2 linked regions of the Coturnix japonica genome follow. The protein of the gene in region 1 interacts with the protein of each later gene in a pairwise test. Links are inferred from orthologs where the notes say so. Each region holds a gene or a part of one and is shown on either strand. Other genes may lie near its edges.

Evidence for each region. The genes of interacting proteins can lie anywhere in the genome.
Region 2: the proteins of AP1G1 (region 1) and AP1S2 interact in binary tests that used the Homo sapiens proteins (3 or more experiments, as listed by UniProt). The link is inferred for Coturnix japonica from reciprocal best matches to the Homo sapiens genes AP1G1 and AP1S2.

What each region holds. Positions count from the first base shown.
Region 1 is NC_029526.1:17,674,765-17,678,538, reverse strand, and holds part of AP1G1 (AP-1 complex subunit gamma-1), read right to left. Parts: intron 3,385-3,774; coding exon 3,329-3,384; intron 3,133-3,328; coding exon 3,019-3,132; intron 2,543-3,018; exon of another isoform or gene 2,456-2,542; intron 1,276-2,455; coding exon 1,135-1,275; intron 569-1,134; coding exon 514-568; intron 1-513. UniProt on the Homo sapiens protein: Subunit of clathrin-associated adaptor protein complex 1 that plays a role in protein sorting in the late-Golgi/trans-Golgi network (TGN) and/or endosomes.
Region 2 is NC_029516.1:109,762,639-109,767,159, reverse strand, and holds the start of AP1S2 (AP-1 complex subunit sigma-2), read right to left. Parts: upstream 2,930-4,521; 5' UTR 2,913-2,929; coding exon 2,907-2,912; intron 2,893-2,906; exon of another isoform or gene 2,714-2,892; intron 2,416-2,713; exon of another isoform or gene 2,044-2,415; intron 1,565-2,043; coding exon 1,386-1,564; intron 1-1,385. UniProt on the Homo sapiens protein: Subunit of clathrin-associated adaptor protein complex 1 that plays a role in protein sorting in the late-Golgi/trans-Golgi network (TGN) and/or endosomes.

The sequences.
Region 1 (3,774 bases):
TAACACGTAGCAGCTGCTGACATCCTTCACAAAGCCACATGATTCATACACGTTTACAAAACAAACAAACAAACAACAAAAAAACAACCACCACGTTATCATCCTCAAGTACTCCATGGCTGATTTTGCTTTGTTGAAGTACAAAACAGTACACTCTCCCAGGGCACTCAGCTATACCCAGAGTAAACTGAGTAAACTCAGCTTGGATTAACTTTAATAAACTGTTTTAATGCTTTCCTTGCAAGTCACTTCAAGGCTGCATTCACTCCCTCCTCAAAGGGCTATATATTGGAATGACAGAAAGCACGAGTTATCCTGACTTTGAAGTCACTGCAGTAGAAAAACTCTGCTACACAGTCTACTTGCGTATTAGCTGCCTTAAGTCATTATATAAGAACACTTCAGTTTTGCACTGATATACTTTACAGCTGCCCCCTAATCAGTGATAAATAACTACCTATAGAATTCAAGAATTTTTACAAAGTCACATATAAGAGAGGCAATTTTACTTACTGTTGTTAAGACTCTCATGATTGTGTCTATGTGCCAGCGTTTGGAAGGAGCGTATCTGACAAAAATAAGAATTAAAGAACTATGAGCCTTAATGCCAGCAAAAAACAAAACAAATTCAGCAGAACCTTCTCCCCATTTTATCACCTCCTGGCCCACCTTTTCCTAGAATAAAAAAAACTTAATTCTTTTACCTTTTGTTACTAACACTGACATTGAAACGTTGAATGAACATACAAGCACAGCCATAGCTCACACATACTTAAAAATCAGGCTATTGATTACAATGGCTCAACTTTAATCAGATCATCTCACTTGCACATGTAATCAGGGAGAACACGAGTGGGCACATGGAACAGGCGAGGGGTGAAAAGCCAAGATGTCAACACAAAATCTGTTCCAAAGAACAGCATAAATCAATAAACTAGACTGTCTTAATGATGTGAGGACTGCCTACAAGGGAACATTAGTGTGCCCTGATGCACTGGCATGTCCTGTCCTTCAGCAGGCATAAAACCAATGAACCCCCAAATCAACCCATTCTCCCTTAAGTGTTGAGTAGACAAGGCAAAAACGCTCACGATTTTGATAACTGGAAAAAAAAATTAATGGCAAATTCCATACTTTTCTGCTGCAAGGAATATTCCAGATGCACAGTCTGCCTTGAACTCTGGCTCACACGAATCTAGGAAATACAGCAACTCCTTCATCATTCCACGAACATTGTTCCCATTAACAAGAGCAAAACTCAGTTCCATTGCGCGCCTAGGGTAATGGACAGAAAACAAAGTATATTCTCTTGGTGAAGTAAAGTAAGTCCAGTTACTCACATGCACTTACCTTTTGGTTAAAAGAGCAATGTTATTATGGATGGCTCTTCCCAGAGGATTAAATGCAACAGCATTTTCTTGTTAGGACAAGAAACAGCCACCCCAGAAAACCATAAACTGGAGTACAGCTGCAGGAATCACCCAAGAGATCCTAAGGCTAAAAATATCTTTCAACAACCAAAGTCCATCTGTGTTAAGGTCCAAGTATTCATAGTTACACATTGGTCATGTCTGACACAACTGCAAGAAAGCTATACCAGCTACAAGATTTCTTCAGTTTCAGAAATCTTTAAATCCATTTTGTTCTCCAACCATTGGAGACTCAAACACATCAGAGTTGATAAGGTTGTCTTGGCAGATAAACTACATAAGGTTTCCAGAACTTGGGATTATTGAGGTGCTCTTTTCAGAAGTCATTCCTTCCCTGTCAAAAGTTGACATCACAACTGGACATAGCCCTGGCTATCTGACATTACTTTTTCTATATAAACAAAGATCAGAGGCCAGTCTTTGGCCCTTCTACTTGACACTTCAGTAGTTGATCGTAGCACAACTCTCCCATCTGTTCCACATTTCCTGAATGAAGACTACTGTCTTCAAATACATTTCTGGGAAACCATATCAATTTGCTATGCTAAGGTGCATTAAAGCAGCCTCACTAAACAACTCTGACTATTCTTTACAATTGAGTACTTGGTGTAACCCAGAACACAAACTCGTCAAGTATAGAAAGGATGGAACAGCTTTATCAGGAACATCATTCTCTGTCCATCACTGAGATAGGCTAATAAAATAAGATCCCTCAAGAGCATCAAAAACTTCCACCCATATATTGCTCACATTCAATCACATTACGGGCCTCAATTTTGTTAAAAAGTTCCTAATAATGCAATTTGATCATATTAAGCTGACAGATAAACTTAAACTAAATGGCAAAGCTACTCTGAAGTACACTACACAGACCAAAGTTGCATTGCAACGTTTAAGATGACAAGGACATGCCATGCTTCAAAAGTCAACCAAAACCAGTTATGTTTTTCCTCTCAAGTTCCAGACCTCAAAACTTGCTGTCTGGGGACTCCAAAATCCAGTCAATATATTGCTTCAATGAGAACAGTGCATTGTCAGCAGCACGAGTGTCAGCACAGCAACATCAAGCTCTGCCGATGGATCACTCAAAGGCTTCATCCTCCAACAGCACTCAGACATGAAGCTCTGTTGTTTGTAGCATGTTTTCCTTAACAGGCATCAACGAAATGCACTAAATTCAATCTATAATCATTAATTGAAGATTTTAACATTGCTTCAGGACAATATGACCCTACTTATTTGCTTGGAAAAGTAACACCAAGATGTCCAAATAGCTTTGATTAGGACTCTAATTTATGAAGGCTGACTCTTCTAAGCACACCAACTCATCTCTGGATGACTCACTGTGGAAACATTCAGGCAAACAGAAAAAATTATCCCCCCACCAATCCAAGAGGTGGAAAATGTAAAAGCAGCTTCTCAAAGAAAGCAGCTGCATGTTTTAATTATCTTTATAACCTTACATGAAGTAGAAATCAAATGATGCATTAATACTAGTCTCATTTTCAGCTCTCCAGTTCTCCTGTCATTTTCCCATATGTCCTGCTCACTCTTCAGAGACTGCCCCTTTCACTGATATCTAAGTTACCTTTTAATGGAGACATCCAGATCTTTCAGGCAGTCCACAATTGTGCTTCTATGTCTCTGTACTGCATTATGGTCTGTCTGCACAGTTTTCAACAGTGATGTCAAAGCCACATATCTGAGATAAGAATACATCATAAGAAAATAGTTAATGGTAAGCATTCGATTTCTACGTACAAATATACCTACCCACACTTCAAAACAATACTTCAAAGAACACTCTCCTGGAAAGTCCTACTTAGTATAATCTTTGTGTCATTGCTTCTTAGACATCTTAAGCTGAGCATAGATGGAGCACACTTCATACAACTTACCTAATATTTTTGTCATTGTTCAATAGGAAACGGCCTAGGATGTTAATAGCTAAGACCTGCAGAAAAAGTTACAAAAGATCAGTGACAAAGAAATCCCCCATCACTGCTTAAACATGACTTAAAAGGCAACATTACTACTGTGCTTCTTGGCCAAAAGCATAACAAAGAACTCTGGGGCCTGACTAAGCAAAGGGAAAACTAAGACAAACTTTGTATGGGCTCTCTCCTTTACTCAATGAGAAACAGTCCTCAGGAAGGTTTTGCTGAACCCCCTCCCCCACCTTTTCCCTTGTTTTCTTCTTCCTTTTTTTTTTTTCTTACCCCCCTTGTAACACTATAATGCAATGGAAAGTACAGCACTAATAACATAGTGGCAAAGCCTCTGGCTACAACAAATGAAGACAAGCCCAAATGCAACAGTCAGAAACAGAAACAAAGAGAGAAAA
Region 2 (4,521 bases), on another chromosome or scaffold:
ACATACACGGATGTTCTAGGTCCTGCTTTCATGTATACATCTAATACTTTATTATTATTAATTCTACTCAATTGGCTCATGGCAAAAGTTAGAAATCCTTTGTTTCAGCTCCAGTTCTGTCTTTCCTAAAAACAGCACATAACAATATTGTCAAGAGTTGGAATTATTTACTACCTCAAAGAAAATAAGAACGTCTAAACCTTTTGAAGTTTGTAAATAACCAGGGAAGGGAGTTAATTCAAGGTTCCATAGCACTACCTTCAGATGGAAGAGATGCAGCCTAGCAAACTGCAATGAATCACAGAATCACAGAACTGTAGGGGTTGGAAGGGACCTCTAGAGATCATCGAGTCTAACCCCCCTGCCAAAGCAGGCTCCCTACACCACGTCACACAGGTAGGCGTCCAGGCAGGTCTTGAGTATCTCCAGAGAAGGAGACTCCACCACCTCCCTGGGCAGCCTGTTGCGGTGCTCCGTCACCCTCACTGTAAAGAAGTTCTTCCGCACATTCGTGCAGAACTTCCTATGCTGTAGTTTCATCCCATTACCCCTAGTCCTGTCCCCATGCACTACTGAAAAGAGACCAGCCTCACCACTATGGCTCCCACACCTTAGGTATTTATAAACCTGGATCAAGTCCCCTCTCAGCCTTCTTTTCTCAAGGCTAAACTAATTCTAATTCTAAATGAAAATTACTGTTATTTGCAGGGACAATTATTTCTACACCTCTTCATTGTCATACATTCTAAAGACCAGCAGAAAGCTAAGAAAACTCTTGTCACGCACTCCAGAATGATAGCGAACAACTGAGAAAGGAAAACACTGCCAAAGAGAATCATATGGTACCTTCACCACAAGAAAAACACTGGCTGTGAGTTTTTAAGCTGGAGAAACGCTTTTGCGTTCATAGTAAAATAACATACTACATACTCTGAAAGAAGAAAAAGTTTCCCTTATTCCACGAGAGCCTTTAAAAGCAAGTTGTATCTGCAAGTTTATGAAGTCACTGCCTGAGGTAAATGTTGATAAAATTTAGCTTTTATTATACCTATTAAACCCTACATGCCTTATATTTCTACTCATCTATTTACCGTGGTCTTCTAAGCAACTAAAAACCACCACTCCTCATGAAAGAAGAAGGAAAGCTCATCTCTTCAGCACATTTCTAAACGCATGAATGACTTGCTACACATGAATGATTCCTACTTGGTTATCAAATTAGATTCAAGGGAAGTCAGTCTCCTCCATAACCAATAGAGGGAAGAAAAAAACAAAACAGATAAATTAAGGTAAAAAAAAAAAAAAATCAACCATCATTATTTTCTCGCTACTCATTACACTGTTTCTGATGTACGTCAATTACGAGGTTAGTGAGAAAGAACAACCTTTTGTAGACAATCTTCAGGTCTCTCCATTCCAGGAAGCTGCACATTTTCGGTTTGCGGGCTAATACTGTTTGAACAAGTTCCCTTGTGATTTTCTTCTTTTCTTTGTCAGATAGTGGGACATACCACTTCTGGAGTCTCAGTTTCCCCTGGCGACTAAAAAGCAACATAAACTGCATCTGTTGAATTAGAAGGGGAAAAAAAGGATTATTCTCAGTCTCTTAAGTTCTAAGAAGATTTCTACGAGGAAAACCAAGCGGGAAGCGAGATAGCCATCCAAAAGCCTATCTACATGATGTATTTCTACACCGGTGGCAGACGTTACACAAGATTCGGAAGCACCAATAACACAAAGGATTCAGCTGAACAAGGTCAGTGAGAGCAGAGATAGTAGGAAGCACGCACAACTTTCAGAACCGCCAGTCAGAGGCAGCAGGCAGCGACTACACCCGGGATTCTGGCAAACCACGTCCAGCATTGGTATGGTCGCGTTTGCATTTACTATAGAAAACGACAGAAAGCAGCACACCCATCTCCTCCAACACCCAACCTCGTTTCCAATTCACACGATTAAAGCCTTACAAGCACGAGCAATTTGCGCTTAAGACCTTTCCGAAAAGCCTTTAAAAATACTTTTAAGAGGCATTAAATCTCCCACCGGAGAGTCCTATGGCATCGAACAGCCTTGCCTTCTCTTGCACTGCACAAAAGGAGTAGAGATTAAGTGCTTTCCCTGCGGTCCTACGTTCCAGGTCTCGCTTCCTCTACAGGAGTGATGTTGCAATTATATCTTTAGAGGAACTTGTCAGCTGTGTTTTCCAGCGGCTGTAACATTAAAGGAAATGGCTTTTCTTTCTTTCTTTTTTTGCTTTTCCTCCCCTTTTCGCTCCAAGTTATGTCGGGCTTGAGGAAGTTTCCCAGGCGATACAGCAGACGTGAAATCCCACGGAGAAGCCCAGCCCGCTCCCTGCTGACAGTCCGAAGAGGGCAGGACGCGGCAGCCCGGATCCCCCACAGTGTCAGCCCGCAGCCTCCCTCCCTCCGGCCGCCGAACCACCCCCTCCCCCCCGCCCAGGGGACCCTCCCGGAGCCCCGAGCCGCTACCAGAGGGCACAGAGCCGCGGGCACACGGAGCAACGGGGCCGGGCCCGCCCCGTTCGGGGACAGCCGCCGCCCGTCCCAACGCGGCCGTGTGAGGGGGGGGGGATGAGCGGAAAGCAGGCGGCCGCTCTTCTCGTTGCGGAGAGCGGCGGGTCCCGGCAGCGCGGGGCAGGAGGGAGCTGAGAGAGGCGAGTCCGTCCCCGCGCCGCGGTGCTCGCGGTGCTCACCGTGCCCCGGAGGGGAGAGCGAGGAGGAAGAGGAGGAGGAGGCGGCGGCACCGCTCCCGAGCTTGATGCTGCCGCCACGGCCGCCGCGCGGGACTGAGGGGAGAGAAGGGAGACGCCGCCGGCTCGAGCCCGGCGCCAGCGCGCGCGCGCCTCAACGGCCGCCTCTTCCCCCCCCCCCCCAACACACACATACAGACATACACCGCCTCGCTCGGGCTGCCTGGGGCGGGGCCGGACTCGAGGACGCTGCTCCCGGGCGGGGGGCGGGACCAGCGGGGGGACGGACACAACTTCGTTCGCCGCCTTGAAGGAGGGGCCGGATCCGGGAGCGAGGCGCATGTGCGGGGTTGGAGGGCTGAGGGGCAACGGGAGCTCGATGCTGACCAATTGGAGAGCGCGGCGCGGCGGAGGGAGGGAGGAGTGAAGAGCCGCGCTGGCCAATGAGAAAGAGCGAAAAGCGCCGAGGAAGAGGCGGTGGGAGGGACGAAGCAGGGGGCGGGACTAAAGGGCTTAATCCTCAACAGCCGCCGCGGCAACAACCAATCAGAAGGCAGATAGCGGTTCTCACAGTCTCACAGTCTGGTGCAGGTTGGAAGGGACCTTGAGATCATCGAGTCCAACCCCCGGGATTCGAGCCTCTGTGTAGCAGAGCGGCACTTCTACCACTTGCGCCACAGGGGGGATTCGAACCCAGGGCCTCCGGTGTTGCAAGGCGGCGTCCTTAACCACTGCGCCACCGGGGCACACAAGCCGCCCGTGGTTCGGCGAGGCGCCTCCTTCCTTTCTCCCGGTGCCCGGGGTCAGCTACTGATGGTGCAGAGAATAGGTGGCGGTGCCGCGCATGCGTAGGGCTGTGTTTCCTTCTAGCACGTGCGGTGGGGCAGGGCGGGGCGGGGCGAGATGGGATCGGAGCCATTAAGGCGGAGGGGAGGGAGGGATGGTTAGTGCTGTGGGCGGAGTGCTGCTATTGCGGTTGTTCGTAGGCCTGATGGTGCTGTGTCAGAAAGTGCCTCTTCCCTAATGGTCACTGTGCTGTTCTTGAGTCGCTATATACTGAGCCAGATACATATGATGCTTAAACCGATAATATGTGCCCCGGTGGCGCAGTGGTAGCAATGCCGCTTGCAACACCGGGACCCGGGTTCGAATCCCCCTATGGCGCAAGTGGTAGAAGTGCCGCTCTGCTACACAGAGGCTCGAATCCCTGGGGTTGGACTCGATGATCTCTAAGGTCCCTTCCAACCCGCACCAGACTATGATACTGTGAATATAATAGCCTCCGTGTTGTCCACAAGCCCGTGGCAATGCAAATGTCATGCGTTCTAATTTTAGGCAGACGCTGCGTCTTCTTCTCATTAGCCTTTGCTTATTGTCATATGGCCTACCTTAACGAGGTGGGTTTTAAAGAATGAACTCAGGGTTTTGATTTCTAAGTCACGAGTGATAACACTGCATTATTAATGGGATGGATTCTTCTAACTGCTGTAGTTATAAAATCCTTTGTATTCTGTTTTAGACACAAGGCAGTTCTTCAGGGGATGTGTCCGCTGACCATAAAACATTTGGGGTCTCCAGCCAAGACTTTGCTCTCGAGATTATTTCCAGCACAACTGGCGGCACAGAAGAGAACTGCCTGGAGCTGGGAAGAGAGACAGGGGAGGAGAGATGAAGGAAGCTTACACAAAATAAGATTAGAACACTGTGGATTTCTCTGGAATATGGATTTTGTATCAGAACAAATAAGGTCAACATCCTGGCATTTGGCACTTTGTGCCTAAACTGAAGTCCCTAATAGCTTTTTGTTTTGT